Lytechinus pictus: one gene and its partners. The protein of the gene in region 1 purifies or fractionates together with the protein of each later gene. This does not show direct contact. Links are inferred from orthologs where the notes say so. Each region holds a gene or a part of one and is shown on either strand. Other genes may lie near its edges. The genes, in order: dnaJ homolog subfamily C member 11-like, MICOS complex subunit Mic60-like and armadillo repeat-containing protein 1-like.

The links.
Region 2: the proteins of dnaJ homolog subfamily C member 11-like (region 1) and MICOS complex subunit Mic60-like purify together in Homo sapiens (co-immunoprecipitation; 3 studies listed by BioGRID and IntAct, with this or other methods). This does not show direct contact. The link is inferred for Lytechinus pictus from reciprocal best matches to the Homo sapiens genes DNAJC11 and IMMT.
Region 3: the proteins of dnaJ homolog subfamily C member 11-like (region 1) and armadillo repeat-containing protein 1-like purify together in Homo sapiens (affinity purification with mass spectrometry; 4 studies listed by BioGRID and IntAct, counting the BioPlex papers as one, with this or other methods). This does not show direct contact. The link is inferred for Lytechinus pictus from reciprocal best matches to the Homo sapiens genes DNAJC11 and ARMC1.

The regions. Positions count from the first base shown.
Region 1 is NC_087258.1:23,414,476-23,422,269, reverse strand, and holds the start of dnaJ homolog subfamily C member 11-like, read left to right. Parts: upstream 1-4,699; 5' UTR 4,700-4,744; coding exon 4,745-4,819; intron 4,820-7,666; coding exon 7,667-7,794.
Region 2 is NC_087256.1:25,316,956-25,324,352, forward strand, and holds the start of MICOS complex subunit Mic60-like, read left to right. Parts: upstream 1-4,287; 5' UTR 4,288-4,428; intron 4,429-5,490; 5' UTR 5,491-5,515; coding exon 5,516-5,733; intron 5,734-6,923; coding exon 6,924-6,978; intron 6,979-7,397. UniProt on the Homo sapiens protein: Component of the MICOS complex, a large protein complex of the mitochondrial inner membrane that plays crucial roles in the maintenance of crista junctions, inner membrane architecture, and formation of contact sites to the outer membrane.
Region 3 is NC_087261.1:15,317,983-15,325,778, forward strand, and holds the start of armadillo repeat-containing protein 1-like, read left to right. Parts: upstream 1-4,717; 5' UTR 4,718-4,911; intron 4,912-7,796.

The DNA of each region.
Region 1 (7,794 bases):
ATACATGATATACCTCAAGCTTTTATGTTGAACCATGAACGTGTAATTCATCATGGAAAAATATTATTGATACTGGCAGGGATCCAGGTGGAAGTAGTAGGGATAATTTAAAAGAATAACAAAAAAGACCTAAATCCTGCTAAAATTATGTTTGGTACATGAAAGTCTGAAAATGGCGAGGCTGTGAAAAGGAAGATATCAATTGGTGAATTATGTTGGTATATTTTTTTAAGATCACCTTTTGTAAAGAATGTATAAATAACAAAAATAAGCAAGATATTCATTGCCATTTCCATGACCATGCCCAAAGCCATGAAAGCGTTTCACAACAAAATAGAAGTCATGCGGTAGCTACATGTAGATTTAGGTCAAGATAATGTCGAGAAAATGTGCTCCCAGTCTAAAACTGGTTAGACATGCTACTGCTAGATCTAAATCTTTGCAAAGTTCAAATCAAAATAATTATAATTTTTCTAAACTAAAGTTAACATGCATCACATATTTCTGAAGATGCTACCCTTGCATCAATACGCATGTTCCCATTGAATATATCAACATGAATTGAATGAAACTAGCAGAACTTCCAGAAGTTTATTCTACCAGTACCACCAGTCATGTAGTGGTAGTGGCACTGGCAGACGTCGACCCACCGCATTCTGGTAGCCAATCGCCCATCCACGCCGCATCATCCCATCGTTTGCACCCGGGCCAAGCGCAAGGCCCATTTCAACAGAAATGAAGATTGTTTTAACCCCCTGAAAATACAGATAAAATGCACAGAAATGCTATCGCTTACCGTTCACTTGGCTCTGTCGGTCGAAGCTGGGTTTGATGATTCCTGAAAAATAATGCCAATAATCAACAAATTCTCACAAATTTCTGAAATTCCGTTTGTTTGTGGGAGTTTTATCGAAGCCACGATGAAGTAGGGTAACTGAATACTAGCTACTGAAACAGGATCTCGATACTATACATACCGGTACAGTGTTGTGTGCGCAGACGTGACGTCGTTTGGGGTCACTTCACATAGCTTTTCATTTACTCATTGCCTATTGTTGACTCCATAAACTTTAATCTGAAAGCTGAATGGGAAGTGAAAACGAAACAATAAAGAGTTTGCTCCCGAGTTTGCTCTCCTTTTCTCTGAAAACCATTCCTGTTTACATCTAAGATCTGACGTATCGATAGGGTAAACAAATATGGAAATGGAAAGTGGGCTTCTAGAAAACCATCAGAAAGAAATGGTATGGAGGGGCAAAGCGGGTGGCATGGATGCTGCAGACACTTGCAAGATAGGGGGTAAGGGGTAAGAGCCACACCCCTGCCAGTCTGCCACACCCCTATACACCAATCGTGTGCATGCGATAACGTTCGGCAGAATACCAGGTCGGGTACCAGGTATCCCATGTACATGTATGTGCTCGGGAAATTCTGACAAGAAACATATGGATAGAAATTTTGCGCCATCTGAAAATTCCATTAGTCCTTCATCAAATGTTTTTAAAAGGAAATATAAATCCAACTTCTCAGTGAATATTCTATAATGTTTGATCAGGTTTACTTTCTTTCTTTTCCCCCTTTCTTTATTTTTAAAGTTATTATCGTTGTATATGTATTTATTTTGTGGTCATTTTGTTATAATTTGCATTTCCCCTTTTTATGTTCAATATGTTTATCTAGCTGGTATACATAACCGTCAAAATATATATAGTTCGCAATGACAGACTTTCAGTTTCCAGTTTTGTATAGATGGCAGCTCTATAGTGAGGTTTTGCCTTTTTTAGTTGCTTCTCATTCATTGATATATACTCTTTTTTAAATAAATTTTGATCAATATTGTACTATTTCACGATTTTCCATGTAATGTATGTAACTTTGAATTATAGGCCTATACCTCGTTTTGTTATGTTTTTTTAATTTTTTTATAATGAATGGAACACTGGCGTAAACCCTTGCGTCACACCTGTTGTTCAGGGGGGATGATCTATTGTTCCACCCCCTGAACAATAGGTGTAAAGCAAGGATTTACGCCAGTGGAATGGAATAAATACTTTCAATCTCATCTAATCTATTTCACAACTAGCAAGCTCACAGTCCCAATAGCGCAATCTTGCAAATTTTTTTAAATCCTGCCCCCACTCGGTATTTTGTTCTCCACTCCACAATGTTTTTATCTTTTAAATTCAAATATATTGTTATGGGGGCATTATATTTGGGGGGTACAATTAAGTCGCCCCCTTAAAAAAATCATCCAAAAGGCTGCGGGTGTCTACCCCACAGACTCCAAATGACATGACGCATAAGACACTCAAATTTCATGAAACTAATCACATGTGGGATCAGGGGCGGTGGAACGTAATTTTTTTTGGGGGGAGGGGCAAAGTAAAAAAAAAAAAGGGACACACCCTCACACTCATGTGAATGGGGCAAGAAAAGTGGAAGACCCGTGGTATAGTGGTTCTGATTCTCGCCTTGTAAACAGAGGGTTGTGTGTTCGAATCCCACCGCGGTCTGGCATACCTTTGGCAAGGCGTTAATCCACACTTTGCCACTTTCGACCCAGGTGCTAAATGGGTACCCGATATGATGTGAAAGGACATGGAAAGGACACTATTTGTAATTATCTTATACATTAACAGACTGGACATTATTTTTTGAAAAACCAAAAAAAAGAAGAAGGGTTATCTCAGACGGTAAACAAGGGCATGTTCAAACGATGCGTTAATCAGAAAGAGGAATTTCACTATGAACAAAAAGAGCCATGCACGAATTAGGTTCGTGGCAATATACAGATTTTGAAAGGTACACAGCAAAAACTGTGGTGTTAACCGGTGTACATAAGGGACCACACCAGTTATTTTACTCCGGTGTTAAATTGACAGTGTTAGTTTAACACCTATAGGTGTTATTACAACACCTTTGGTTGTTACATTTACACTCTTTGGTGTTATGTTCAATCTCTAGGGTGTAATTTTAACACCTCGGGGTGTGGTCCTCTATTAACACCAACTGGTGTCAGTTTTAACACCACAGTTCTTACAGTGTATTATTCAATAAAATGCACTTACAGAAGTGAACAGAACGGTATAATTGGCGCTGCATGAGCGGGCAGGAAAAAGGGTTCTTTGAATTTGAAGGTCAAAACCACCCCAAAAAATGTTGCTTTGAATGAATAGAGAAAAATCAAACAAGCACAGCATTGAAAATTTTGTCAAAATCGGATGTAAGATATTAGTAAAATTATGATATTTTAAAGTTTTCACTTATTTTGCAAAAAAAACACAGTTATATGCAGAACTATTGATGTGTAAATGAGAGAGTCAATGGTGTATCTCACTCACCATTTCTTTTGTTTTTTATTGTTTGAATTATACAATATTTCCATTTTTATCGATGTGACAATGAGGACCAACTTGACTGAACCATAAAATGTTAAACAATGTTAATTCTTCATGTTTAGGGAGGAATAAAAATGGTTTCCCAGGACAATGATATAACAAAATACAAAAAAAGTTAGTGGGTGACGGCATCATTCGACCTCATTTGCGTACCAACCTGGATGTGCGTAGACATTATAATGTCTTGTGAAATTAAGCGAAATTTCAAATTATTATAACTTTCTTATTTTACATCCGATTTTGATGAAATTTTTATTGTTATACTTGTTGGATTTTCCTCTTTTTATTCAAATCAACTTTTTGTTGCGGTGATTTTTCCTTTAACAGGGTAATGACACGAGAATGTGCACTTTAAAAAGCAAATTGGCACTCGTATATAAGAAAATAAAGCATGTGCATCTGAAATGAAAGGGGCACTGAAAAGTGACATTTTCTTGTAATATAGGGTCACTTTATGTGCCACAAAAAGTGGATGGCTTAACTGGCTTTCTCTCCCCTATACACCCCCCCCCCCCGATTACCTTGAAAAATAATTTTATGAGTAGGGCCTGAGTGAAAGGGATTCATTACCGATTTTTTTTTAATTAGTATTTAGACATTCTTTGTTTCTTCTAGGAATGGTCAACGAATTAAAAATAATGAATAATTTAATATTCATTTATAAATATGTCACTAGAGTTCAAACTTCAATTTACAGAGCTTCTTTTACTGATGAGACCCCCTAGGAAGCGTTTCATTAAAGCAGTTGTCGGAAAATTTATCCCTAGGGAGCCTGGACCCCCCAAAAAAAAAAAATCACGTCCAAGAAAAAAAGAGAAAAGGAAGGAGAAAAGGATTAAATAAGATATTATTTTCTGAATATTAATATGTCAAAATTTATCATTAAATTTAATTTTTTAATAAAATTTGTCCAAATTTTTGAAGGAGAAGAAGATATTTATTTATTTATAAAAAATTTCCTTATAGTGGGCTAAATGATTTAAATAGTTTATGACAGGGGCCGCGGAATGGTTTTGAAAGTGGGGGGGGGGGGGCTGACCATGCAAAAAATCATAATCAGATGGTCATTTTTACGTTCCTGTACACGGTTTAGGAAAAAGGTGCGGGGCTGAAGCACCCACAGCCCCCCACACTTTTCCGCGGCACCTGTATGATATATTGTTAAAATGCCCCTCATACAGCGCAGGATTACAGCGTATCATAATAAATGGGCGACACAATTTAGAGTTATTATGGAAGTTATTATTCCTCTTTGACAAAATTTTTCAAGAAGTTATATAGATTAACCGCTAGATGGCGCTATAGCTAAATCAATTTTTGATCACCAGAAAAAACACGAATGAAACATGGCAGCGCCCATTGAAGATCTGGAGCAGTCATCGTCTGATGATTATTACGCTATTCTAAACGTCAGGAGAGAGGTGAATATTATAGAAAATCGTCAGTGTGAAAGTTGGAGTTTTTGTAATGAAATTCTGCAGTTAATCATACTGACTGACAAAAAGAGAGTCAAATAATGAATTAAAAGAGTCCAAATGTGATCGTGCCCAGGTTATTGTGTGCAATTTTCCGTACATGCGAGTGAAGGGATGTCATCACGATTCCGTGAAATATGTATGTGAATAGCACATGAGATAAATTGCATGTGGTGTGCACGGTTATTGTGTAGGTGTGAAGCAACGAGGGTTTGCATTCTTCTCATCAAAGGTCAAGTCCACCCCAGAAAAATGTTGATTTGAATAAGTAGAGAAAAATCAAACTAGCACAACACTGTCTCACTGAAAATTTCATAAAAATTGGATGTAAAAATAAGATTAGTGTTATGACATTTTAAAAATAAAAAATGAAAGTTTCGATTATTTTTACAAAAGAGTGATATGCACAGCTGAGCTGAGTGACATGCAAATGAGATAGTTGATGATGTCACTATTTCTTTTTTTTTATTGTTTGAATTATACAATATTTCATTTTAAAAACAAATTTGACAATAACGAATAAGGACCGACTTGAAATTGACTGAACCATATTAAACAATGCTAATTCTACATGTTCAGGGAGGAATTAATCGTTGTTTCACTTGGGAATGAGGAGAAAATTTGAATATTTCATATAATAAAATACAAAAGAAATAGTGAGTGGATGACGTCATCAGTTTCCTCATTTGCATACAGACCAGGATGTGCATATAACTGTTTTGTGAAATTAAGCAAAACTTTAAAATGTCATAACTTTCTTATTTTACATCCAACTTTGATGAAATTTTCAGTGTTGTGTTTGTTGGAATTTTCTCTTTTTATTAAAATCAACTTTAAGTTGGAGTGAACTTGTCCTTTAAGTTGTAATCAGGCTTTTTGATGATGAATGAATATCTCTTGGGAAGAGTCCCTTTGTTTGGTGACAGCCACCCAAAATTGAAATTAAAGATAAGAAGAAGGTTAAAAATAATCTAAACTTTTCTTAAGTTAGATTTCTAGAGTAACTGCGTCATGTCAGTGCGAGGCAGGGGGTTGGTGTGCGGCCATTCAGCATGTAGACTCAGCAATATACCACTGAAATTACCAACACACTCTACATGTACACTACACATTCACTAACTCACTCCCACACTACAAAATCATCCGGCGACATGGGCAAAATCTTGAATAAAAAGTGAAATTTTCTTACCTAAATCGCCATATCTCGCACCAAAAATATCACCATCGGTACTTCTTAACATCGTAGTTAAGAAACAAGGGGTAAAAAAAAGTGGATTTTTCATGGTTTTCTCGATGTTCGTGGATTTTGAAAACGTGTCCTTACTAAAAACTGGCACTTTCGCAAGCCGATGTCGGTCGCCATTTTTTTCAGGAAGTCAATGTTACGACTGAAAAAATAATAAAAACATGAAAAATACGACAACACCTCAAAATGTAGCGGCCGTTGTGTGTACGCTCACTATTTTCACATGTGTTTGCAATGGAACTGCGCACTTAGCAGCGTTCGCGCGTCGTTTAGAGGTGAATTGCAGCTGCCTCACGGAGCTTGTGGGAGCGCCATAGGAATTGTACATCCTTCCTCCATGCACTTCAAGTTCCAGGCTTCTAGTGTACTACAATAATAATTCTTCCTATCTTCTTGCTTTCTAATTTCTCCTTCATGTTTCCTTTCTTTGAATATATCTTTCTTTTTTCCTTTCTTTTTCTTCATCCAGTCACCTAAATTCTCTCACTTCTTTTATTTATTCATTTTAATATGCTTAGTTATACAAGGACCATAAAAGTAACTTTTAAAGTTTTAGTTTAGTGACAGTGGTGCTCTGATGTCGTTTGGTGTGGATTAATGAAAATAATTGAAAAACCTCATATGTGAAAGGATAATTTTATGATCCATGTAAGGAGTGCTGTTTATATTGCTGATTTATTATGATATGGTGGATGAGGTGCCATGCGTTGCATTGGTCTGAAAACTCTGAATTTAATGAAACTACATGTACATGCCATAGTTTACTTTTATCCTTTTCAAAATGACTATGGAGTATGGATAAGATTAAGATGAACTGAAATTGAAATAATTTCATTCAAACTCATGTATTTTTATATCTCTTTCTCTAAAAAGAAAAATATAGAATACATTGAGTTCAAATCAAATGATGTAATACAATAAAAGAACATTGAAAAACTGTTAAATTTCAACAAAACAACAAAATACACAAGGTAATGAATGGGATGTACTAAAAAGCTACTGGCCTGTCATTGCTACTCCCCGCTAAATGCGGGGCTCCTGGCTTAAAGGCGGGAAAACATTGCTATGTATAAAACATTACCATCTGCAAGAATCTTCAACCATGAAGGAGGCAGATGTATTAAACCTGAAGAAGAAGAAGAGTAACTGACCATTTACTAACCAGTACTGAAAATCTTCCAATCAACCTTATGAAATATGTTATAATGGTTTGCAGGAATTTATTATTTTAAGTACCAGTAGAAGTGGACTTTAAAACCTAAATTATAGACTTGCAGAATTGAAAGTTTATTGGCCAATGGGTGGTTATTTAGAGTGCATCAATATCAGATCTAGAGCCCATTTCATAAAATTTGTTACAATAACAAATGGTTATTAAGAGTTTAAAGCTACTGAAATCATTCAATTTGATTGGCTGATGGTAAACTTGTTATAGAAATTTTGCATTTGTTATTATAACAAGTCTTTACGAAATAGGTCCGCAGACAGACAACTGAGTACATGTATGACAAGTGAATGTATCCTTGTTATTATTTTTGTTTGTGAAGGCGGACCAAGATGAGCTGAAGGCTGCCTATAGACGCATGTGTATGCTGTATCACCCTGATAAACACGGTTTGGATGCAGACAAGGAAACAGCAGAGGCCATCTTTAACAACGTTCAAGAAGCGTATAC
Region 2 (7,397 bases), on another chromosome or scaffold:
CAGTTTTTTGTGTGGATCTAGGCCTGTTTTACAGTTGTCGGCCACGGTTGTCGGGGAAGTTCACGGTTGGCGGATTTGCCCTGAAAATTTTCGGGGTTGTCGGCGCCCGCCAACCGTGACGCGTGGTAGCGAGAACGTTGGTTCTGGTCGCCGATCACGACGACAAAAGTCGCCTATTAATTTTAGTCTGACGACTCATTGTTTATTTGGTTTGAAGTTGAAGCCGAGTCCTGGCCAGGGTGACCAGATTTCACAAAATGAAATACGGGACAATCGACAAAAAAAAAGATCAAGAAAGAAGGCTACACAGTGTTAGACTTGTGAAAAAAGTACAGGATTGGAAGGGAGGGTGAACGAAAGAATGAAGGAGAGAAAGAAAAGAGATGAATTGAGAAGAAAGAAAGAAAAAATGTTTGAAAATGAAGGAAATAATAAAAAATATAAGAAAGTTCTAATAAAAAAAGGATGAGAGAATAAAAATAGATAAAAAGGTTTCCGTCATTCTTTGAATTGAATATAGAAAGAAAAAAAAAAGAAAAGGGAAGATGAATAAATGTGTGAAAGTCAAAATAAAGAAGAGAAAGACAAAAAGAAAGTAAGAAAAAAGGAGGAGGAAAGAAAGAATGAAGGAAAGAAAATGTTTCCTTCATTCTTGGAAAGAAAAACAAAGAAAGAAGAAAACAGGAAGGAAGGAAGGAAGGAATGAAGGAAGAAAGGGAAAGAAAGTAAAAGAGAAAAGAATAAGAAGGACAAAATGAAATAAATAATGAAAGAAAGAAAGGAGGAAAGAGAGGGAGGAAAGAATGAAGGGAGGAAAGAATGAAAAAATGAAGAAAATAATGGAAGGGAGAAGGAATGAAGGAAATAAAAAAAAAGGAAATGTAATAAAGAAGGCAATTAAGAGAAAGAAGGAAAGAAAGAAAATGAACAGAAAGAGAGAGAAAGGATCAGGAAATGAAAATAGATATGTAACAAAAAAGGGCAAGAAGGAAGGATAGATAGAAAAGAAAGAAAGAGGAAAAAGTTCAAATATCAAGCAAATAAAAACAATCCAATCATATAACAAAAATCCTAATGATATTTGGTGTTTTTTTAATATATATTTTTAAAATTAAAAAATACTAAAATGTTTTAGAAATGAATAAAATACGGGACGTCTGGTCTGGCCGAGTCAGTCCGAAGCTTGCATGCATTCAGCACGATCTAGCTCGAGACTCGGCTGGCTCGCGATCGCTCGTGTACGTCCGTACATGTACTGTAGCGCCGATGTATTAGAGCATAGAGAGCATGCGCTCAGAGGGTGAGAGAGGGGTTTCCCCAGCTAGCTCCTTCGTCGATTAGTAGCGCATGCGCACATTGTAGTTTAGAAAGTAAGATGGCAGCCCCCATCGAACGGGACCGCTGGCGATAAATTGTCGGTAAATTGGCGCTGATTTGACATCTTTCCACTGTTTTTTGACAGGTATGACATTGTATGAGAGATAATTGGCCGATAATTGCAATTTATCAAAAAATTATTAAACTTTACTGTCAATTTATCTTTTTCATTTTCAAAACAACCACTTGCCCGATCGGGCAATTGACTTTGAGAAATGCTTGCCTGCACGTCATTTTCACTTGTCCCGGGCAAGCGGGTTTGTCGCGCCCTGTTGATAGTATTGGAAAAATATTTAGTCTTCATCGTCATCTGAACCTTTTATTTCGGAATGACGACTTTTCATAAAATCATATATTTCAATAAAAGGGGATCAAATAATGTTTTATTTAGTACTGATTGTAGAATTGATGTATGGAGCGTACTTTATGAGGTAAAAAGAAAAAAATTCAAGATTCACAAACATAACTGGATAAAATCGAAATTTTCATTATTTCCCTTATTTAGAACACTGTATCCTTTTAGAGACACCTTTCATTGATATTTCAACGAAAGAGACTCTTGTCCGACATAAAAATTGATCTAACTAAGTAATTTCGACATTTTATTAGTTCAATATACTGATTTTTTATAGAATACATATATATAATGATGATTTTGCAAATTATGCGTTAATATGTTATTTGTTGAGGTAAAAATAGGGTTTGAATGGAGTAAACAAAATCAACAGTGTCTGATTGTATGAGACTAAAAAGGAAAATATGAGAGGATGCCTGTGAAAAATCTAATTCATTTATTTTATTTGTCACATATAACGCAAGAAATACAAATGTGAGTGTTTAGAGTATAAACATACATGTACCTCAGTTGCATGATGAGTAACCGAAGACAAGGAAAATATGAAAATTGCTGCAAACATGTCCAAGTGGATAAAGTAGTGCTTTGCAATAACAATTAAAACATAGAAAAAGGTGTGCAATCCGCAATGGAAAAAATACTATTTACAGAAATAATGCTAAATATTACAATGATCATAAACGTTGGCATAGTTTAAAGTTGATCACTTAATTTATGGAAGCTTATATAAGAATATAAGGTTTGACCTGTGACCGATCGCGATCGCATGCGATGTTTTGAAATCAGCCGTGAATAATACGTGTGAGGAGAAAGATACTGGCCCAAAATCACCAATTTTGAGGATAACCAGAGGATGGAAACGGAGTGAAATACAGGTGTAGAGTAAGATATTAAGTTATTCATCTTTCTTGTTATATTTTTTTTCTTTAATTTTTACGATAAACATGATTTCCATCCCACCTTTGTGACTCAGTATATCCGAACTGGTTCACCGTCTCGATATTCGTGTAGGTGGAGCGTAGTGTAGCGGTAGTGAAGTGGAGTGGAGCCTGCACGAACATCGCTCGAGGTAGATATAATCTAACCTTGTTCTCTGACTTTGTTACTACTCCCTGTGTGGTGAAATAAGGTTGGCAATGTTTGGCTTACGCCTTACTTTTCTCTTTTTCTTTGGGAAAAATGCATGATTTTTTTACACTGTCAGTTTCCATTACAGCTATTCATCATATAACCTGGCTCTTGAGTAAATTTGATTCTTTAAATTATTTTTTCTTAATTTAAAACAGAGATTGAAAAATGACAATTGTCTTGCCATATTACTTTCCACCAATAGAGGGCGTACAAAAAAATATGCCCAAAATTCAAGTTTTCGAGCGCTCTGGTGAATACAAAAATTACTCCCAAGTTACTAATGAAAAATAAATTGCAACGTGTAATCGTGTATGGAAATAAGTATTTTTGGTCACAAAAGTGATATTTTAATGATTTCTTTTTTATTGTGTGTTGTGTACTGCATTGGCATACCATCAGTAGAGGTGCACGGCCAATATGGGAGACTGTCTCCCATGAGAGAGATTATCCCAATATTAGAGACTTTTTTAAAGAATTTGGGTATCCAATTTCAGAGACAGTCTCCAGTTTGGGAGGCCAATTTCCTTCGTTTACATTTGCTGCAAGAGGATTACCTTCCTGGCAAATAAAAATGTGATAAGCAGATTCCTCATGAAAAATTACCCCTTTTCAACGTCTTCTTTAAAAATTCACGGACTACTTTTGTTTTTAGAAGGATTTTTGTTGTCATCCACACACAAAACAAATGGGCTTCTGACCTCAGTGAGACAAAATTTTGGGTGGAAAAAATTACGCTTTTGTTGGTGTTGTTTCTTTTGTTCTTTTGCAAAGCAAGTCTCCAATGTGGGAGATTGTCTCCCATATTGGAGAGAGTCTCCCATATTGGCCGTGCGGGTAGTCCTACCTGTAGATTCCCCACAGGCAGGGTGGTTGCAATGAGCAAGTGCAAGCACATAGAGGCAGGCCGTTGTTTTCACTCGCCTTACAATAAAGAAGCTTAGTGTTTGGAATCCAGTTTGCATAAATCAAGTTGCAATGCCAGGTAATTCAAATGACTTATTACAATTTTGGGACTTCTGATTGCTCATTGGGTGATTTCAAGTTCAGTGTTGACCTTTTGGTGTTGGTGTTAGGTCAATTTTTACACGATTATAACACCAAACATAAAATGGAGATGGTCCCGAAAAGTCACTCACTAGTTGATGAGATGTCAATAATGTGATCTGGATCAGTTTTACAAACTCTGAATAAGTTTCGGAGCTAGGGGAAGCAATCCAAATTCCAACACCAACACCAAGGCCAACACCGGACTTGAAATCACCCATTGGCTTCTTCTGGAAGTTAATAATCGGTAAGCTTCTATCAATTTCAGATTATTTTACAAATGAGTCTCAAAAACAATTCCAAACAACCCCTTCCATGTATGTACCTAAAAATTGCAACCGATTAATCTATTTTGTTATCCTTTGTTGTTGGTAGGCATGTAATTGTCGGACGGCCAATCGGGTGAGCTCCAATTCTGGAGGACAATGCAGTTATTGTTCAAAGCCCAGCTCGGCCCCTGCTGGAGCTCCTAAATCAGCCCCTCCACCGCCACCACCACCGCCACCATCTGCACCAAAGAGGTAAGTCTGTTGAATCAAAACACGATTGTATTGAAGGCCTGTATTAAAATAAAAAAAAATGATTTGGTCAAAATGGCACATGGCAGAACTTTTTTTTAGGCGATTCCCTGTGTATGCTTTGTAGACTAATTGAGAAATTTACTGTATAGGCAATGCTTCTGTGAATGAATTAGTTTCAGTGAACATTGTGAATTAAATGCCAGTAATTGGAAAGTTGATTCACAATATAAACTAAGATTAATTTGTGTGCGGTGTATCCCCAAAACTTATGAACCAAAATTCAGGGATGAATACCAGAGTAATAACACAGATGTACTATACCCATGTTGATTTTCACATTAAAAATGAAATGATAGGTGTCATTTTAAAACCTGTCTAAAATGTTGCCAAACATTAAAAAAAGAAATTTATAGAAGATTATTATTTCAAGTATTCCAATTTTTGTGTATGATATGTTCACTTTGTATCATACTGGCTGCCATCACCCATGATGTATCAAAGTGAGATGATCCGTTGGTGAGGTACATGCCTCCTTGTGTTGGATAAATCTTGCCCAAGCTGTGATACTGAGGGGGCTGCGTAACATATACCATGCAGTGAATACATAACCAAATGTATATGTATGTGTGTGCTCGTAATCTTCATTCCATATGATGGAGGCATTGAATAATATGAAGCATTTCTACTCCATGCTGACTGCGGAGTCAGCAAATACCCTTCACCTTGCACTTTAAATGTTTAACCCCCAAATAGGCAGAATCATTAAACTTTCCCAGGACAATCAACAAGTGTAAAAATGGTAAAACGGGCACCGTTTCAAGGCGATTCGGTGACTGTCTGTAGGAAAAAGCGTCAACAAAACAACAGACAGACATATATAGACACATGCACCAGATTAGCCAAAGATTGCATGTTTTACACAACATGTGTTTTGTGATACTCTTTTTTTAAAATTTTTATTATATCAAACAGTCAGTTTAAAGCGTAGACCTGAATGATCTTTAGATTTACACAACTATCATATGGATTTGAAGTCATGATTTGATTGTTTTGTTCTTGTAGGTCTGGTGGTGCGGGGAAGGTCATCATGGGCGGTCTATTGGTAGGAGTAGGAGCGACCGTTGGCACGTTAGCCTACGCCAAGGCAAACCCTGAATTCAGGAAGCAGGTGGAGAGTAACTGGCCTTTGCTCCTGGACGTCTTTCCTTACTTCTTCGATGAGGATGCATCGCCGGCAGAGACCGGCAAGTCTAAAGCAGATACCATGTCTCTTGGCGGAGGAAAGAAACCGTTGATACCCACCAGGTAGGTCTTAACACGAAAGTCCCCTTCCGCATCACCGATCTTTGAGGCTGGTTGTTTCTTCAATTTTATTGAACAGTTGTAGAGAAAATGATGTTGTTGATGATGATGGGTTCTTGTATAGGGTCGATATCCGCCTCTGCTGGGCGCTCATGGCCCTTGCTCAAAAATAGGAAATGTCTCACAAATTTCAAATTTTAATTGTGTCATGTAACAGATAGCTCAAGCTTAGCTCGAGCTAAAGCTTGGTTTCTAATAATAGTGTACCTCGGATTAGATTATTTCTCGATAGATGGCACTATATAAATGTCTATTCCTCTTCTTACCTCTTTTTCTTCTTCCTTTTCTTATAATTGTTGTTATTATTATCATTATTATTAAATCAAGAGAAAAGTTCATTTTGAAAAAAAAAATTGTTTCCTGTTGTCATTGGATAGTGGGATAATGAGGGTGAATATGAATAATGAAGATATGTTTAATAAAGAATCTTTAGCAAGATAGCCAGATGCAAAATGGCATTTTGCCATATCTGTTATAGAAAAGGATTGATAGTGACAAAAGAAGAACATATGCAGGAGAGTGACTGATGAGGTGAATAGTATCTATTGAAACTGAATCAAATAGGCCGGTTTACCATATGGGTGTTCCTTTCTTTGGAGCCTAGTTACAATGTATTCATCCAACCTGTCAGTAATAAGGCATCACTACTGTATTTGGAATCCAATGTGTACATGTATGTATCATCTGTTGCTATGTCTGGCAAATCTCTGACAATTTTTTGGGGTTGTCAGGAGCAACCTGTGTTCAGAAATATGCATACAATTTTTATACATATGTATGTTAATCGACAGATCTATGAGTGAATTTGATTTTTTAAAGCACTGCAACATATGGTGGCCACGATGGGGGGGGGGGGGGCTTCCAAAGAAGTACTTTTAATGGGATATTCAATAAACCAGGTGTGTTGCTATGTCAGTAAATACATTATCTTTTGATAAGACATGAAGCCCCTCCAGATAGAAATTACCATAAAAACAGCAACCAAACCAAACCATATTGGTCTGTACTAAACTGAACTGAATAATTGTTCAACAAAAAAAATCTAAATATCCAAGTATTTATTCCTACATTGTGTTGTCTCCATCATGCCAGTATTTATCAAGCGCGCATCTCTATTTTTTTCTTCTTTGTAGCTCACCAAAAACCATCACTCCCGTCAGTGAGGCACCACTTGCTGTATCTAAACCAGTAAGTACATATCTGTTGATATTCACTAGATGTAGTTTCAAATATGAGAAGATGTGTAAATTATGAAGGAGCATGTAGTTCATGATGATTACTTTTTGTCTCGCCCACCAGAGGTGTAGGCGAGACTTAGGGATCCAAATGTTGTCCGTCCGTCCGTCACAAACCATATGACACATAACTCTGCAACTGTAAGTCACTTTTCACCCAAACTTGGGTTGTAGATGTACTGAGGAGACCTGCATGTCATGGCGCAATCAGAGGTCACATGGTTAGGTCAAAGGTCATTTTGAGGTCAATGATGTGACACATAACTCTGCAACTGTAAGTCACTTTTATACCAAACCTGGGTTGTAGGTGTACTTAGGAGACCTGCATGTTATTGTGTTTGGAGGTCTCATGGTAAGGTCAAAGTTCATTTT
Region 3 (7,796 bases), on another chromosome or scaffold:
CCTTTCAAGACAGGTGTCCATCAGAGACAGGTGGCCGCTAAGAAAGGTTCTGACCGTATCTGCAAGAGAATTATAAAATATAAAGGCCACCTGTCTTCAGTGGTCACTCATCTATTTTCTTTGGGCAGTCCTAAGTGACAGGTTGCAGCTACCTGTCTATAGTGACCACTGAAACTGATTCCCATGGAGGTAGATTGTGTGTATAAGAACCTGTCTATAAAGGCAACATTTTGTGTTTCCTTTGGGTTGTCACGACATGTATAGACAAGTTTTACTCTATTCTATAACACCATCGTAATAAATTATGTGATGCATGTGTTCTGTTGCGCCACTTATACAAATTTTGCCTACCCACTAGTAGGTACTCTTTGCAAACAAATCTTGGCCAAGTATCATGAAAAAAATGCAATCAACTGTATAATGAATTGTAACTTAATGTTTTATCACAAACTGTGCACAAGAAAAGCTGCAATCATAAATATTCATTGTATTTCCATGTGTGCACACTTTGTGCTAAACGGCAACATCAAACATTGCATGGTATACTGTATGGGAGTAAATGTACATGTGCACCTGTTTTTTTTTTTTTATCATTTTGAATTCCATTTTCATGTTGATTTGTTTGGTATGAAAAATATTGATAGTAATATTTCTTTTATTTCATCAAGATTTTCATAACGATCCATGTGCCAAAGATAGTAAAGTAGTAGTATAGTTATTTTGTTCATAATCATATATGATCATAAATATGTATTTTATTTGTGTTTTCTGTAAAATAACAGTAACATTAACAAAAATCCATCCCATACTATCTTTTTCTTAATTCTTTCAGATAATGCTTTTTTAAAAAGATTTTGTTTTTGTGATGATGATGAGCGAATAAAGTGTAAACATCTTTCAAATAAAACATTTATTTTTACTTTAAAATCATGTCACTTTTTTCCCCCAAACCGTGTGCCACATGTTTGAACAGGGGCCTGTCTTACAAAGAGTGGGATTGATCGGATCAATCGTAACTCTTTGTAAGACGGGGCCCAGGAATCCTACTATAAATGGACAATTAAAGCAACTGTCTGAGCAGCTTTCCTGCATCCCCCATTTGTTTGTCTAGTATGAAATATGAGAAATAGCGATGTAAAGATGATTTGTTCACAAACTTTCAGCATTACTCCTATTTGTGTAAGATCGCTATGCTTGATCTGTAATGAAATTCATAAGTCTGAAAAAATTGGAACCAGTGGGATTCGAACCTGCCATCTGCTTTCTGGGCAGATGTAAAGATGATTCTGATTTTTTTTCTGAAAAAAAATGGGGCTCTACCTTTTGGGAAGGGGCCTAGCAGATAACCCTTCTAACCTTGTTGTCAGTGCATTGAAATATTTGAGCCAAAGTTGTGATGTTTTCTTTTTCAACCATTGTGCATATCCATGTAAAGATGATAGGCTGAAGTTTATAATATGGGCGCGTCGTGGTCTAGTGGTTCTGACTCTCGCCTTTCAAACAGAGGGTCGTGGGTTCGAATGCTAGCCGTGGCGTGTTTTCCTTCAGCAAGAAATTTATCCACACTCTGCTGCACTCAACCCAGGTGAGGTAAATGGGTACCGGCAGGAAATAATTCCTCAAAAAGCTGTGTTCACCTGAATCTGTAGCCTAGCTTAGCCGGGTAATAATAATAGCAGGGCCCGCTGGGAGAACAGTTTTCGGAACTGAAGTGGCTACCCTGGGTAAATAAACCGTTATTAATATTATTATTATAATTAGGCAGTGTTAAAAAAATAACCTTTATAGTTTTCCTTCTTCCAAATACACATGTCACTTGGCTGTCAAAACCTCATATCTCAAAATTTGAAAATCTTGAGAACATCGCAGAATAATTGTAATCTTAGAGTAAAGTGGCAAGCGTCTTTTGCATTGAAAGATCTCTCTATAGGAATTAGGAGACTGTGTTCAGAAAATCCTTGTGTGAGGTTGCGACCATTGCCGTATGTCTAAAATACAGCCTTTTCTGTGCTGCTCAATTATAGAGATTAGGTTTTGACATATTTGAAGGGGAAGTTCACCGTGACAGTGAGGTGGTTCTAGTAAAAAACAGGAAAATTAGAAGAAAAAAAATATTGGTGACGGAAGGTTCGATGAAAATCAATCAAAGAATATGAGAATTATGAACTATTATTGTGGAATTTGTAATGTAGTATGCTAGTAGATTCAAACAAAGTATTTTTGTTTGTCATGTTCCATAAAAAAAAATGTTATTTATGGAATTCAAATTAAAGGGGTGCATGAAATAATATTTCTGATGATATATCCTCAGCACAAATAATTACTTTTATTTTCATTTTTTTTATAGAAAATTGCATTTTGGGGAATGTAAATCACATACAGGGCCCTGGGTATGATTTTTTAATAGGGGGTGCTGGTTTAAATTTGACAAGCCCCCCCCCCCCAAAAAAAAAAAAAAAAAAAAAAAATCAGTGGTTTTCACTACAGAATGAATGAGATTTTGGTTTAAATTACTGCTATTTACCGGTAGTATACCTTCCTGATTTCCAGGGGGCGCTGCGTATGGCGAATAACACACGCAGCACCCCAAGGCAGGGGGTCATTCCCAGGGCCATGATCACATGACAAATGGGGTAGCTGATTGTCTGCGACATCACAAAATAAAAAAAATAATAATAACTCTCTTATTCTATAATGGATATTCATCGAACCTTCACCAATATTTATCTAAAAATAATTTGCTTTTCTTATTCAAGAGGACCTTCCCCTTTAGACATTCTCATTGATTCCAGGCTACACTTCTTTGCTGCTGTTCTATTTAGGAATTTATTAGAATATGTCAATTTGCAGATTAATATCTTTTCATTAAGTATTTAACAATAACATTGATATCAGAAAAGGTATTTAAAAACCTTATTTATGTCATATTGACAGAGAACAAGGTTAAGGGTAAGTCCACCGGGACGGCAAGTTTGTTTTGACAAATGCAGAAAACTTTAAAAAACATGAAATTTTGTTGAAAATCAACCCCCCAAAATAACAGAGTTTTATATTTTTATATTTTTTCAAGTTGTGATGTTACTTACATGTGAGCAGCTTATTCATAGATAATTATGAATTTCCTATTTACCCTTCATAATGTTAGTAGACTGAAAGTATCTAAATTCCCTTGTTGGTCATTTATGAAGTATGACTGGTGATATAGCCTATTGAATGCACGGCGTAAATCTCTTTAAAATTTATGCGAAAATATCATTTTAGGAAATTTTTATCACCTGGAAAAAATGGGGGACCTGCTCACCTCTGACATCACAAAATCGTGATTTCAGCAATCTGTATCTCTGTTGATGCATTTTCACCAAACATTTGTGAATGTTTCTTTTATACTTCTGATTTATCAAATCCAGTTTAACGTAAGAGTGAACTCCCCCTTTAAAATGTAAAAAGAAACGATAACAGTGGGATTGGGTGGGCCTCCACTTACTATTTCTTTTTACTGAGAATAATGGTGCTGCACTAATGGAGATGATTTTCACTATTATTCCATTTGTATTTGGATCTGTATTGATCAGTGGATTCTAGAAACCGTGTGACAATGCTGTACATGATGTAAGTGTATTTTTTAATGTCACTTGACAGTATTCATATTTTTTTGTTTGTTATTTTGTAAAGTTAGAATTTGTAATAAAATATTATATTACAGATCATGAAAGAGAATACAATCTTCTCCCTTATTTGTTTTTGTGGCATGGTAATTAATGGATAATGAATTTATTTGGTTTGCAGAGGAAGGAATTAAATAAAAGATTGTTATGAAGTGGAAAGAGAGGATAAAGAATGGGATATGTTTAGAATGTTTTTGAAGGAGAGGGAGAGAGAGAGAGAGAGAGAGAGAGGGGGGGATTAATAGAGGTTTATTAGTGAATCATGAATCAATATCACAGATGGAATATGTGATATGAATATTTATTTAAATAAGATAAACTGCCATTTGAAAAAAAAATGTTTATAAAGTTTATATGTATCGACTATTACACTGGCTTGTGTATAAATCCACACACTAATAAAAAATGAAAGAAAGCTGCAGTGATGCAACTCTGTACAAACTAATTTTGACTAAAACTGTAAATTGAAACTTACATGCTTACAATTCTGCTAAATTAATTAGATCTAATACACATTTTTTTTTTCATTTCTAATATATTGGGTCTGTTCTTGCCGAAGAATGCACATTTTAAAATCTTTGATGTTAGTGACAATGCAGGCATCCAGAATACAAGAAGATACAAACCCCCAAGCCACCCCCATCTGTACACCATTGATTTATTCATTCATTAATCAATCAATTAATTTATTCATTTATCTTTTCATTTATTCATTATCATCACAGCCCGGGAGGGGGTGGAGGTGATCGATCAGTCAACTCTGTCACTACGACATGCATATGCACCAGTTATTAGACTTGCAGAGTTCAGTTGATTTAACATTTTGATGGGAGCTCCATCTATTTTCCCTAAATCAGGTGCCAGGACAAGTAAAGAAAACTTAAATAAAAATTGACATGATTCTTTTTATGTACAACACTCAACAGGCCACAGAAATTCGTTGATACTAACAATCAAGAAAGAATCCCTTTGCAGATACCATATATTATGACCTCACTTTGAAACCTCAAAGTATTGGCCAATAGAAAGGCAGTATTCAGGAAGCTGCAACCAATCACAGGCAAGAAAATTGTACACACCGCCATTTTTAAATAGCCCGTATATATCATCGTGCCGCTTATTTATTTCAACTTTAAATCAGAAGCAGAATACAGATTCGAGTGAAAAATTGAAGTAAATCTAAATGAGAGAAAGGAGTCATACATTTCTAGGCCGAGACGATTGTCATCATCACACATCTGTGTCGGTAAGAAAAGATGCGAGATCGAGGGAGATAGCAGCTGATCGCGCGCAGCGCAGCCGGGACCCTGTCCCTGAGGCTGAGCCTAGCCTGAGCTGAGCCAGAGACGGCCCTAATCACTGCCGGGACGGGCGGGGTTGCGAACGCTCCTGTTTAGGTAACCCTTACCCAGGCCAGGGAGCTCCGGCCCGGGAAGCGGGCCGGAGCCCAGGGGCCCGTTTCTCAACACATAGACAAGTTAGTCATATCACTCATAATCCACCAACCACGGAGTTAGTTCCAATCTTACTAAAAAAATACTAATAAACCTGTTTGTTTCTCGAAAGGCTTCCTATCCTAACTAGATAAGTTGAATTTGATATCAATACTATCGGTAAAAAAGAGCAGACGAGACGTAGCCTTGCCCTTATTTAGTCACAAAATAGCATAATTTTCAAAAAGAAAAATTATGACAAAATTGCAAATATTGTGATAAATTGGGAAAATAATCTTTTCAAAATAATAATACTAATAGCACAGGTGAATTATGCATCATAGTTACTTTAAATTAATAGACCATGAAGACTGGAGCATTCAATTACAGAGAAAATTAAATTATGAATCATTCATTTCATGACTAAAAAATCACTTGTGGGCATTGAGATGGGTATCCCAGGGATATCCAATATTGATAGTTTACGAAAGTAAACCATAACGCAAGGCTCCACATTAACTTTTTTTGGTGGTGGCCCGTTCGGGCCACCAAAACCTTCAAATAATTTTTTTTGGTGGCCCGATATTGATGTTTGGTGGCCCGGAAAATATAAAGAAAAACATTAAACATTCTGAAAGATTAATTCTGCAGCCACGACCACTAAGTTACTTTCACTTTGTACATCTTGTGTGTAAACCTTGTTTACTGTTATTTTACTTTGCTAATTGATTTGTGGTAAAATATAAATTGTTCTATCATTGTAAATATGAAATGATTGAAAGAGAATAAATTAATTGTGTGGATTTTTTTTATTCTCCGTATAGACACAGACTCATAATGGAAAAGTAAATAAATAGTGCATAGCAAACTCAGATAAATGTACAAAACAATGAATTTTCCTTTCTTCCTCTTTGAATCCTTAAACCTAGATTATGGAGGCCCCAAATCCAGTTTATTTTTTTTCTCTTTTGCAGCATATTATAGCAGGAGAAAATCACAGAAAAATATGCTGCAAAATTAGAACAATGCATAAAAGGGGGAAACAAACAAAAATAATTTTCAAAAAGTATATTACAAAAAGAAAACAATAATAATAAAAGAAATAAGTGAAATTAAACAAAAGAAAGAAAATGAAGAAAAAACAAAGAACAGGAAAAAATTAAAAAAAGAGAAAAAAGATTTAGACTAAACAAACAAAAGAAAATGAAAGAAAAATGAATAAAAAAAATTAATATAAAAATGGGGAAAGGAGGAAAAATTAAGAAGCCATTACAAATAATTTTTTAATAGTCTATTCTGACTGGAATATAATTAAAAGCCAAGCAAATAATTTTCACTTATCTTTTGGGAATGGCGCATTTCTATTTTAGTTTGCATTATTTTTTTTAGTAGAAACATATTCTTTAATCAGGCTTATTCAATGGGAAGGGGTATAACAAAATGAAAGAAAAAAAAAGAAAACGACATAAGTTATATCGGGAAAAAAGTGTGAGAAAAGTCATTCCCTATATTTGCCAAAATGTTTGAAAATTCACATTTCATATTAATAAAATGACTTCCCAAAGTATTTACTTTCTCAAGAGTGGTTTAAGAAGTCATGTATAAACAAGAAAGAAAGAAACTGTCTGTTTATTTTTGGCTAGAAAAGACACAGCTCCGAAAGAATCAAAGTATCAACATACATACAAATACACACATGGGACTGTGATGTACTCACCTATGGGTTTTTATGTGTATTAATTCATTTGGTAATCGGTCTTTTTGAGTCAAAAGAGAGGTCATAATTCCTCTTTTTAATGCTTGCAAATAATCAGGGTACACCAGATTTTTAGTAATATGGACTGTAGAAGGGCATTTCATTGGTGTAAAATGTGACTTTGACTTAGATTTCCAAAGTTCTGTGGAAGATTTCTTAGCAGCAACATTTCATATCGCAGCTCCCTGAGTCTGAATAGGCTGCCAGCGCCAGCGCACAGCTATAGCTGCGCATGGCTTCATGCAAAGCTAGCTCACTCCAGCCTGCCGGCGCGGCCGGCTGGATAATAGCTACTGTGTGCTGTAGCGGTAGTACTGTCATGACTATGCAACATTTGTGTGTAGATCAACAAAAAAGGCGCACGACGAACTGGCTTGCAATTTGAATTGTAGAAAGTTGATAAATGCGTGCAAAATCGGGAGAAAAATTGTGCTACTGTGAAAACTATTGGTTGCCCGATTCGGGCCACCAAAACATAACATTTTTTCAATACTGGTTGCCCGAGGTGAATTTCTGGTGGCCCCGGGCCACCGGGCCACCGCTAATGTCGAGCCTTGCATAACGGTTTTCTTTGTAAAAATATGATGATAATTATACGGTCTTTTAGTTTTACGATTCCAAACGTCATCAAATTCAAAATGTAGTTCAATGAAACATTTTTAATCATTGATACCGAAACATACGATATTTGACAAATTGTATGCATGAATTAGACTAGAATTTATCCAACTGTCTGAAAGGGGTCTGAAAACAACAAATACGAGTTCAGTTATGGATGGCCTGACGTGGTAGAATCTTTATCGATTAAATCATGGAGCTATTTGTATTCATTCTACTATTTATTATTTATTTCAAAATGAATGGTTTTGTGGCGTCTTACCAACAGTTTTTATAGTTTCATTGTATTACAGTTATCATTGAATGCATTAACCCACTTGTTTT